Saccharomyces cerevisiae S288C: one gene and its partners. The protein of the gene in region 1 interacts with the protein of each later gene in a biochemical or structural test. Each region holds a gene or a part of one and is shown in the gene's direction. Other genes may lie near its edges. The genes, in order: CPR7, URE2 and HSP104.

Evidence for each region.
Region 2: the proteins of CPR7 (region 1) and URE2 form a complex in vitro, tested with the Saccharomyces cerevisiae proteins (one study listed by BioGRID).
Region 3: the proteins of CPR7 (region 1) and HSP104 form a complex in vitro, tested with the Saccharomyces cerevisiae proteins (one study listed by BioGRID).

Annotation. Positions count from the first base shown.
Region 1 is NC_001142.9:489,437-492,872, forward strand, and holds CPR7 (peptidylprolyl isomerase CPR7), read left to right. Parts: upstream 1-1,644; coding exon 1,645-2,826; downstream 2,827-3,436. Other genes in the region: Arf family guanine nucleotide exchange factor GEA1, read right to left, coding at 1-1,376; RAV1 (Rav1p), read right to left, coding at 2,942-3,436. UniProt on the Saccharomyces cerevisiae protein: PPIases accelerate the folding of proteins. It catalyzes the cis-trans isomerization of proline imidic peptide bonds in oligopeptides. Plays a major role in negative regulation of the heat shock transcription factor (HSF).
Region 2 is NC_001146.8:218,482-221,798, reverse strand, and holds URE2 (glutathione peroxidase), read left to right. Parts: upstream 1-1,597; coding exon 1,598-2,662; downstream 2,663-3,317. Other genes in the region: JJJ1 (Jjj1p), read left to right, coding at 1-1,140; ELA1 (elongin A), read left to right, coding at 3,137-3,317. UniProt on the Saccharomyces cerevisiae protein: Plays an important role in nitrogen catabolite repression. Down-regulates the expression of many genes involved in nitrogen utilization by inhibiting the GATA transcriptional activators GLN3 and GAT1.
Region 3 is NC_001144.5:86,928-91,905, forward strand, and holds HSP104 (chaperone ATPase HSP104), read left to right. Parts: upstream 1-1,695; coding exon 1,696-4,422; downstream 4,423-4,978. Other genes in the region: Fe-binding Fe/S cluster assembly protein ISA1, read left to right, coding at 476-1,228. UniProt on the Saccharomyces cerevisiae protein: Required, in concert with Hsp40 (YDJ1) and Hsp70 (SSA1) and small Hsps (HSP26), for the dissociation, resolubilization and refolding of aggregates of damaged proteins after heat or other environmental stresses.

The DNA of each region.
Region 1 (3,436 bases):
AAGAAAGCGGGAGAGTGAATCCACAGTATTGAAAGTTGTTCAATAATTAATTCCCTGATTGCAGGTGGTTTTTGCTTACTAACGTCACCACTGATTGTGGTATCCTCTAGAATTTCGAATATTCTCCTTAAAGTCAGTTCAATCTGCATAGGCAAATAATCACCCAATATCACAACCAAACTCGTGAATAATTGTAAAGTTGCTTGCAAAAGAGAATACTGGGTAGAACTTTGTATAATGAATAAAACACTTTTAAATATTGGATCAGAAATTAAGCTGAATAACCGGGGATATAGAGGAAATTTGTCACCGGATATTTCAATGGCTGCATTGATTAACTGTAGAGATAATTTCATGGCCGAAGTTGTGTGCTTCATTCTATTCTCTGGCATAACCAGTGATAACAATAATCCAAGATAATCCTTTATAACTGTTATTCCGTAATTTGGCTCGACATTTTCGGCTTTCTCAGCCGTTTCCTCATCATTTTCCTGTTCCCTTATGACCTGTTGGACTGGCTTCTCATTTTTATTATCGTCTGCAACAGCACTGTCATCATCAGTGCTACTCAAATCGTTATCAGAGGTAGTCGTACCTATAATGTCATCCTTCAAATTATTGTCGGTGTAACTTTCATCATTGATATATTTTTCTGTTTTTGTAGGTGGATCTAGTAACTTCAACTTTGTAAATAGTTTAACGGTTATCCCTGCAATTGTAACTTCAGCCGTTTTCCTCAAAACCTCGCTTCTCTGCGTATTACATGCCAAGGAAAGTGTCGTTTGTAAAACATCGTAGATTATAGTATCGGAGAGATAGTCTCCAAAGGAAGAGGTTATAATATCGCGTAGTAATGTTACAACTTTTAATAAAACAGAGTCGTCCGAAATTTGCTTTGAAGCTTCAAATCTACAATGTGTAAGCGCAACAACGGTTTCCCTAACGGCAATTTGAATATCATTAAATGTTTTGTTTATGATTTTTAGTGTAAAAACTTTCTGCAACGAGTCCAGAGCCAGAGAAGTAGTATAACCCGATACTGAACTAGCGCTGACTATTTCTAAAAATGGTTTCAAAAGTTCCAAGGCGTTTAATGAATCTAAACCCTTCAAGTCGTTAATTTTTAGCCGCAGCTGTACTAAACCAGATATCAGAGGATCATGATAGCTAGAAGTAGGCAAATTGTGGAAGCTGTCAACAAACGAATCACTTTGACTCAAGAATATATCACTACCTCCGCCCAGCAACGCGGCCACACTTGTTTGTGATTTATCTCTGGACTGCTTGTTCATGGCAGAACAAAGATTGATGCACTCTTTGACAATCATCGTAGCTGGGTTCACGGCCAAAACAGTTTCCATTGGCACGTCGTGCATTTTGTATATGAAGCCGTATTAGTTAAACCTGGGCGCTTCTTACCAAAGTTGCGAATTAACTTAACTAAGATGGTTCAATTCTCTGTGTAAAGTATCCATATTAAAAGGTCTTAGTTCCAACATGTAAACAAAGAGATCTATATATTGTTTTTTTTCCAATGCGCTGAGTGATGAAGTGATTAGAAAATCATAAAAATGAGAAACTGCAAAGAAAAAAAAAGTCGTTATTCTGAAAGGTGTTCGGCAGCAACAACCTACATCCAACGCGATGATTCAAGATCCCCTTGTATATTTAGACATCTCCATTGATAAAAAACCAATTGGTCGTATTGTCTGCAAACTTTTTCGTGAGAAGGCTCCTAAAACAACAGAGAATTTTTATAAGTTATGCGCTGGTGATGTTAAGAGTCCTTTGAAGGATCAACAGTACCTGAGCTATAAGGGAAATGGTTTTCATAGAGTCGTTAAGAATTTTATGATCCAGGCAGGTGACATTGTCTTTGGGACACAAAAGGATTCCTCTTCATCGTCTGTTGGAAAAGGTGGATGTTCAATTTACGCTGATAAAGAGGAAGTGAAAACCGATGATGAATCTTTCTGTTACGGGAATTTTGAAGACGAAAACTTGGGAGAGTTTGTAGAACCCTTTACCTTAGGTATGGCCAATTTAGGTTCTCCAAATACGAACAATTCCCAGTTTTTCATAACTACATACGCCGCACCTCATTTGAACGGCAAGCATTCTATTTTTGGGCAGGTGGTTCATGGAAAATCAGTGGTTCGCACTATAGAAAACTGCAGGGTAGATTCTGATGGAGTCCCTGAATCAGACGTTAGAATCAGCGACTGTGGAGTGTGGGAAAAAACTATGGGTGTCCCGCTTTACAACGCTTCTAATGACCAAATTGGCGGTGACGTATACGAAGAATATCCAGACGATGATACACATTTCGGTGACGATGATTTTGGTAAGGCTCTTGAGGCTGCTAATATAATCAAAGAATCTGGGACGCTCTTATTTAAGAAAAAGGATTACTCTAATGCCTTTTTCAAATACAGAAAATCTTTAAATTATATCAATGAATACATGCCTGAACCCGACGTAGACAAAGAAAGAAACATCCAATTTATTAACCTAAAGATGAAAATTTACCTAAATTTATCTTTGGTGCTCTTTAATCTGGAAAGATACGATGATGCTATCATGTATGCTACGTATTTATTGGAGATGGATAACGTTCCTAACAGAGATCAAGCAAAGGCTTATTATAGAAGAGGTAACAGTTACTTAAAAAAAAAGAGACTAGACGAAGCTTTACAAGATTATATTTTTTGTAAAGAGAAAAATCCCGATGACGAAGTTATAGAACAAAGAATAGAATATGTCAATAGGCTCATAGAAGAGAATAAGGAAAAGACAAGAAAGAATATATCAAAGTTTTTCTCCTAATTAGTTACTTGTAAGGCTGAAATTTGAGATTAAATAACCCAATATGAAAACACTACATTAATAAGATGTAATTATTTTTATTTATAAATCCATTTATTTGATAAAAAATATGATATCATACAAAGTCATCTAGTAAGTTCTTGGTAATAGCAGATTTTTTTGGCTTCTGTGGCTTTTGTGATGAAAGATCATCTAATATGTCCTTAGAGAGTTTATCTTTCCTATTTTCTGAGTTGTCTGTTTCACCCACAGAGTCGTTTGGCGCTTTTGGAGTTAAATTCTCTTTATGCTGAGAATATGAAGGAGAGACGAACTCATCCAGTATACTTCTAGGTGCAGAAGAAGAACTTTGAGCGAGGGAATTTGAAGAAGTGCTATTTGGTGGTGGTTGCAAGAAGTCGTCTAATAAGCTATTTGGTAACTTTGGATTAGGTGACTCTATATCTGAAGCACTTGGCGAGCCAAACTTATCAAAAAGACTGGGCCTCATCCTAGCAGTAGAAATTGGTTCAGACGCCATGGCGCCAATAGCAGAATATGCTCTATCCTTGGTGGGGCTCTTTAATAGCTTCTGAACTGGTATGGAATTTCTTTCGATGAACTTCCAATT
Region 2 (3,317 bases), on another chromosome or scaffold:
GAGTACATGTACTCTAAAAACTATGACAGAAGAACCAAGAGGGAAGTTAATAGAAGAAATGAGAAGGCTAGGCAACAAGCTCGAAATGAATACAACAAAACCGTGAAAAGGTTTGTAGTTTTCATAAAAAAGCTCGATAAAAGAATGAAAGAAGGTGCAAAAATTGCAGAAGAACAGCGTAAACTAAAAGAACAACAGAGGAAAAATGAGTTAAATAACAGAAGAAAGTTTGGGAACGACAACAATGACGAAGAAAAATTTCATTTACAAAGCTGGCAAACGGTAAAAGAAGAAAACTGGGATGAACTGGAAAAGGTATATGATAATTTTGGAGAATTCGAAAATTCTAAGAATGATAAGGAAGGTGAAGTATTGATTTACGAGTGTTTTATCTGCAACAAGACATTTAAGTCGGAAAAGCAATTGAAAAACCACATAAACACTAAACTGCATAAGAAAAATATGGAAGAGATACGGAAAGAAATGGAAGAGGAAAACATAACGCTTGGGTTGGATAATCTCTCCGATCTCGAGAAATTTGATTCAGCAGATGAAAGTGTTAAAGAAAAAGAAGATATTGATCTGCAAGCATTGCAAGCTGAACTCGCTGAAATTGAAAGAAAACTGGCAGAATCGTCTTCTGAAGACGAAAGTGAAGATGACAATCTCAACATAGAAATGGATATAGAGGTAGAAGACGTCAGTTCGGATGAAAATGTACATGTGAATACGAAGAATAAAAAGAAAAGAAAAAAGAAAAAAAAAGCAAAGGTTGACACAGAAACAGAGGAATCTGAATCGTTCGATGATACTAAAGACAAACGGAGTAATGAGTTGGATGATCTTTTGGCATCACTAGGAGACAAGGGCTTACAAACGGATGACGATGAAGATTGGTCTACTAAAGCGAAAAAGAAAAAGGGCAAACAACCTAAAAAGAATTCTAAATCCACAAAAAGCACTCCGTCCTTGTCGACTCTACCGTCCTCTATGTCTCCAACCTCCGCGATCGAGGTGTGCACTACATGCGGAGAATCATTTGATAGTCGAAATAAGCTATTCAACCACGTGAAGATAGCAGGGCATGCGGCAGTGAAAAACGTAGTGAAAAGAAAGAAAGTCAAGACCAAAAGAATATAGTGACACCAAACCATAGAACGCCGAAACAGAAATTATTAGTAGAGCTGTGTAGAGTTTAATTTAACTGTAGTCAATGTGGAAAATGAATACCGACTGTTGTCTGGAATAACAACATTAATCCGGGTGACGCAGCCTGGAATTTTTTTTTCAATTCTCGCCGAATAGGAGGATTGATGAGCTGCCACTATTGAATTTTTGAGGAAGAGTGGCTTCAGCATGTAGTTTTCCTTTCTACTAGGCCAGAAAAGCAACTATACAAAGACGAAAGCTTCCTTACTCGAGGTTGAAAAGAATAGCAAAAATCTTTCCTTTTCAAACAGCTCATTTGGAATTGTTTATAGCACTGAATTGAATCGAAGAGGAATAAAGATCCCCCGTACGAACTTCTTTATTTTTAGTTTTTCATTTTTTGTTATTAGTCATATTGTTTTAAGCTGCAAATTAAGTTGTACACCAAATGATGAATAACAACGGCAACCAAGTGTCGAATCTCTCCAATGCGCTCCGTCAAGTAAACATAGGAAACAGGAACAGTAATACAACCACCGATCAAAGTAATATAAATTTTGAATTTTCAACAGGTGTAAATAATAATAATAATAACAATAGCAGTAGTAATAACAATAATGTTCAAAACAATAACAGCGGCCGCAATGGTAGCCAAAATAATGATAACGAGAATAATATCAAGAATACCTTAGAACAACATCGACAACAACAACAGGCATTTTCGGATATGAGTCACGTGGAGTATTCCAGAATTACAAAATTTTTTCAAGAACAACCACTGGAGGGATATACCCTTTTCTCTCACAGGTCTGCGCCTAATGGATTCAAAGTTGCTATAGTACTAAGTGAACTTGGATTTCATTATAACACAATCTTCCTAGATTTCAATCTTGGCGAACATAGGGCCCCCGAATTTGTGTCTGTGAACCCTAATGCAAGAGTTCCAGCTTTAATCGATCATGGTATGGACAACTTGTCTATTTGGGAATCAGGGGCGATTTTATTACATTTGGTAAATAAATATTACAAAGAGACTGGTAATCCATTACTCTGGTCCGATGATTTAGCTGACCAATCACAAATCAACGCATGGTTGTTCTTCCAAACGTCAGGGCATGCGCCAATGATTGGACAAGCTTTACATTTCAGATACTTCCATTCACAAAAGATAGCAAGTGCTGTAGAAAGATATACGGATGAGGTTAGAAGAGTTTACGGTGTAGTGGAGATGGCCTTGGCTGAACGTAGAGAAGCGCTGGTGATGGAATTAGACACGGAAAATGCGGCTGCATACTCAGCTGGTACAACACCAATGTCACAAAGTCGTTTCTTTGATTATCCCGTATGGCTTGTAGGAGATAAATTAACTATAGCAGATTTGGCCTTTGTCCCATGGAATAATGTCGTGGATAGAATTGGCATTAATATCAAAATTGAATTTCCAGAAGTTTACAAATGGACGAAGCATATGATGAGAAGACCCGCGGTCATCAAGGCATTGCGTGGTGAATGAAGGCTGCTTTAAAAACAAGAAAGAAAGAAGAAGGAGGAAAAGAAGGTTATAAGGGTATGTATATAGGCAGACAAAAAGGAAAATTAAGTGCAAATATAAACAAAAATGTCATAGAAGTATATAATAGTTTTGAAATTTCTGTTGCTTCTATTTATTCTTTGTTACCCCAACCACAGAATTCCAAAATTTTGTTTTATGTAATAATTGAAATACTATAAATTTCTCAACTATATTCGGGGTGTTGTCACTGTATATCTGGCGCTTTCAATAAAGCTGGTACAATTGCGTATTTTTCTCGGCATTTGCCACGATGGGCTTAAGAAAGATCACAATAGAAAATTTCAAATATTTAATATTTGCGAAGAAGGGATTTGTTCAGTTATGACGATTAGATACATATGTAACTTACATGCAAACGGTTTTTGTTCATGGAAATACGTTCTAGTGAATGTATAAATCGATTGATGTCGAGATATGAAAAGTTTACAAACACTATGTGAAATCTCATTGATGAGAAATCATTCAAACATACAATCTGTGAGTAATGTCCCCTATCACTTATTAAAGAGGATACTGCAGAAAGTAAAAATACCACAACTATTAAAACTTGAGAAAAGCAACGTACTATTGATATTTGACGATGATGAACTATGGT
Region 3 (4,978 bases), on another chromosome or scaffold:
TAATGATTAATAATCCCTCTCTAATAAGAAATAGATAAAAGCTATTGTTCTTCTCATCGCCGGTTCTCGGCGTTGTCCGTACCCTTGGCCGAAACTCGGGCGGGGGCTTATTAGTCATACCCTCAGATTTCATTGGTCAGATAACAGTCACCCGGTAAATGCCCGTTTAATGACTTCTTTATTTTGGATTAAAATTGACAGGGAATTTCAACGGAATAAAGGAAAGAGATTGAGATGCTTTTAATTCATAAAGGAAAGGGAAAGAGGACAGGAAAGCAAGGAAGAGTAATGGAATTTTGCAAATATTTGTAAATCCTTTAGAATTACTAAGAAACTGTTATTTATTGACATTATTTTACTCGTCTTATTTATTTATTTATACATTTGGCCACCATTTTTGCACTCGTACGAAAGACCATTTTAGATTTTTTTGATTTGGTAGTATAACAAACGATCGGAACAATAACGTAACATAATGATAAACACAGGAAGAAGCAGGAATTCAGTACTGCTGGCACACAGATTCCTTTCAACTGGAGGATTTTGGCGAGGCGGTACGAATGGCACAATGTCTCGCACAATCAACAACGTAAATCCTTTCAAATTAAAATTCATACCGAAGACAGTGCCCGCAGCTGCAGACTCTGTCTCTCCAGATAGTCAACGTCCAGGTAAGAAGCCCTTCAAATTCATAGTTTCCAATCAGAGCAAGAGTAGCAAGGCTTCTAAAAGCCCGAAGTGGTCGAGCTACGCATTCCCTTCGCGTGAGACCATCAAATCTCATGAGGAGGCCATCAAGAAGCAGAATAAAGCTATAGACGAGCAAATAGCTGCTGCAGTATCCAAGAATGACTGCTCTTGCACAGAACCTCCCAAGAAAAGAAAGAGGAAATTGAGACCAAGAAAGGCGCTGATCACCCTGAGTCCGAAGGCAATCAAGCATTTAAGGGCACTGCTAGCTCAGCCGGAACCTAAATTGATTAGAGTTAGCGCTAGAAACCGTGGATGTTCAGGACTAACGTACGATCTACAATATATCACCGAGCCGGGGAAATTCGATGAGGTAGTAGAACAAGATGGCGTTAAAATTGTCATCGATTCAAAGGCGTTATTCAGCATCATTGGAAGTGAAATGGACTGGATCGACGACAAGTTGGCCTCTAAGTTTGTCTTCAAGAATCCAAACTCCAAGGGCACATGCGGTTGTGGCGAGAGTTTCATGGTTTAAAAACCTTCTGCACCATTTTTAGAAAAAAAGAATCTACCTATTCACTTATTTATTCATTTACTTATTTATTTACATATTTATCATACATATTAACATTGAACCCTCCATCGTGGTAGTGTTTGCTGTTCCTAACTTTTCTTTCGTTGTTCTTGTAGATATATATTTTTCCAGAATTTTCTAGAAGGGTTATTAATTACAATCTTAAACGTTCCATAAGGGGCCGCGATTTTTTTGTTCAATTTTCAACAGGGGGCCCATCTCAAAGAACTGCAAATTATATCACAGTAAAAGGCAAAGGGGCGCAAACTTATGCAACCTGCCAGATTATTATATAAGGCATTGTAATCTTGCCTCAATTCCTTCATAATTCGTTCCTTTGTCACTTGTTCCTTTTTACCCTTGAATCGAATCAGCAATAACAAAGAAAAAAGAAATCAACTACACGTACCATAAAATATACAGAATATATGAACGACCAAACGCAATTTACAGAAAGGGCTCTAACGATTTTGACGTTGGCTCAAAAATTGGCTTCGGATCATCAACATCCACAATTACAACCTATACATATTCTAGCTGCCTTCATTGAAACGCCAGAAGATGGATCAGTCCCTTACCTACAGAATCTAATTGAGAAGGGCCGTTACGACTATGATCTTTTCAAGAAAGTGGTTAATAGAAATCTAGTAAGAATTCCTCAACAGCAACCTGCACCTGCGGAGATAACTCCAAGTTATGCTTTGGGGAAAGTCCTTCAAGACGCTGCTAAGATTCAAAAACAACAGAAGGACTCATTTATAGCGCAAGACCATATATTGTTTGCTCTATTCAATGATTCGTCTATTCAGCAAATATTTAAGGAAGCTCAAGTAGATATTGAGGCCATCAAGCAACAAGCTCTTGAACTTCGTGGTAACACTAGAATTGACTCTCGTGGCGCTGATACGAACACACCTTTGGAATATTTATCAAAGTACGCCATTGATATGACTGAGCAGGCTCGTCAAGGTAAACTTGACCCTGTCATCGGCCGTGAAGAAGAAATAAGAAGCACTATTAGAGTTTTAGCAAGAAGAATTAAGTCCAACCCATGTTTAATTGGTGAGCCAGGTATCGGTAAGACCGCTATTATTGAAGGTGTTGCTCAAAGAATCATTGACGATGACGTTCCCACTATCTTACAAGGCGCTAAATTGTTCAGTCTAGATTTGGCCGCATTAACCGCAGGTGCTAAATACAAAGGTGATTTCGAAGAAAGATTCAAAGGTGTTTTGAAGGAAATCGAAGAATCAAAGACTCTAATTGTGTTATTCATTGATGAAATTCACATGTTAATGGGTAATGGTAAGGACGACGCTGCTAACATCTTGAAGCCAGCTTTGTCCAGAGGCCAATTGAAGGTCATCGGTGCCACCACCAATAACGAATATAGATCTATTGTGGAAAAGGATGGTGCCTTTGAAAGAAGATTCCAGAAAATTGAAGTCGCTGAACCAAGTGTGAGACAAACAGTGGCCATATTGAGAGGTCTGCAACCAAAGTATGAAATACATCATGGTGTAAGGATTCTGGATAGCGCCTTAGTCACTGCTGCTCAATTAGCCAAGCGTTACTTGCCATATAGAAGATTGCCAGATTCTGCTTTGGATTTAGTTGATATTTCTTGTGCTGGTGTCGCCGTCGCAAGAGATTCTAAGCCAGAAGAATTGGATTCCAAGGAACGTCAATTGCAATTGATTCAAGTAGAGATAAAAGCTCTAGAGAGAGATGAAGATGCCGACTCCACCACTAAAGATAGATTAAAGTTAGCTAGGCAGAAGGAAGCTTCATTGCAAGAAGAATTGGAACCTCTAAGACAACGTTACAATGAAGAAAAGCATGGCCATGAAGAATTGACACAAGCTAAAAAGAAATTGGATGAACTGGAAAACAAGGCCCTTGATGCTGAACGTAGATATGATACTGCTACCGCCGCTGATTTAAGGTACTTCGCCATCCCAGATATCAAAAAGCAAATCGAAAAGCTTGAAGATCAGGTTGCTGAGGAAGAGAGACGTGCTGGTGCCAACTCCATGATCCAAAATGTGGTCGATTCAGACACCATTTCTGAAACAGCTGCAAGATTGACTGGTATCCCTGTTAAGAAGTTGTCAGAATCTGAAAATGAAAAATTGATTCATATGGAACGTGACTTATCATCTGAAGTCGTGGGCCAAATGGATGCCATTAAAGCTGTTTCCAATGCCGTTAGATTGTCTAGATCAGGTTTAGCTAATCCAAGGCAACCAGCATCCTTCTTATTTTTAGGTTTGTCCGGTTCCGGTAAAACTGAATTGGCTAAAAAAGTTGCTGGATTTTTGTTTAATGATGAGGACATGATGATCAGGGTCGATTGTTCTGAATTAAGCGAGAAGTATGCGGTCTCTAAGTTGTTGGGTACCACGGCAGGTTATGTCGGGTACGATGAAGGTGGCTTTTTAACTAACCAACTGCAATACAAACCATACTCCGTTTTGTTATTCGATGAAGTAGAAAAGGCACATCCTGATGTTTTGACTGTCATGCTACAAATGTTGGATGACGGTAGAATTACTTCTGGTCAAGGTAAGACGATCGACTGTTCCAATTGTATTGTCATCATGACTTCCAATCTAGGTGCTGAATTTATCAATTCTCAACAAGGATCAAAGATCCAAGAATCTACCAAGAATTTGGTCATGGGTGCTGTTAGGCAACATTTCAGACCAGAATTTTTGAACAGAATTTCTAGTATAGTCATTTTCAACAAGCTATCTAGAAAAGCTATTCATAAGATCGTGGATATTCGTTTGAAGGAAATTGAAGAGAGATTCGAGCAAAATGATAAACATTACAAGTTGAATTTAACTCAAGAGGCCAAGGACTTCTTGGCCAAATATGGTTATTCCGATGATATGGGTGCACGTCCACTGAACAGGTTAATTCAAAACGAAATTTTGAACAAACTGGCACTAAGGATCTTAAAGAATGAAATCAAGGATAAGGAAACTGTCAATGTCGTCTTGAAGAAGGGTAAATCTCGTGATGAAAATGTTCCTGAGGAAGCTGAAGAATGTCTGGAAGTTCTACCAAATCACGAAGCTACTATAGGGGCTGACACGTTAGGTGATGACGATAATGAGGACAGTATGGAAATTGATGATGACCTAGATTAATTTAATATAGTGTGATTTTTAAAAACTTTCGAACAAGAATCAGTAATATAATATATATAATTAATAAAACTAATGGAATTTGTTTAATTGAACTTGACACCCGAGCAAAAGAGCTCACATTTTAACGTTTAGTTCATCTTGCTGTGAATAATCTAAAAGTAAACAATGGACAAAAAAGTCCACTGGACGTCAAATCTTTTTTTATTGTATTTGGGACATATGGCGTTGATAACTAAAGTTTAAAGGAAGTAATAAGTGAAGGTTAAATCTGGACCTCTTTACTTTCATATTAGAAGTATAAAACACACGCGGATTGGTCCATTATTAGAATACGGGTACTACAATAATGGTTTTGATAGTTACTGTACATTTGAATGTAGCGACTCATATGACTCATATATATGACTACCAAATCATGTTAAAATTAGTATATCTTTAACTTAGACTTCAGTACTATCTGAACTGCACGTTTAAATTTTTACCATAGCAGTTCATGTAATATTAATAATCACTTGTGCCAATATAATGTTACAGCGAACATTTTTCCATGCGCTTG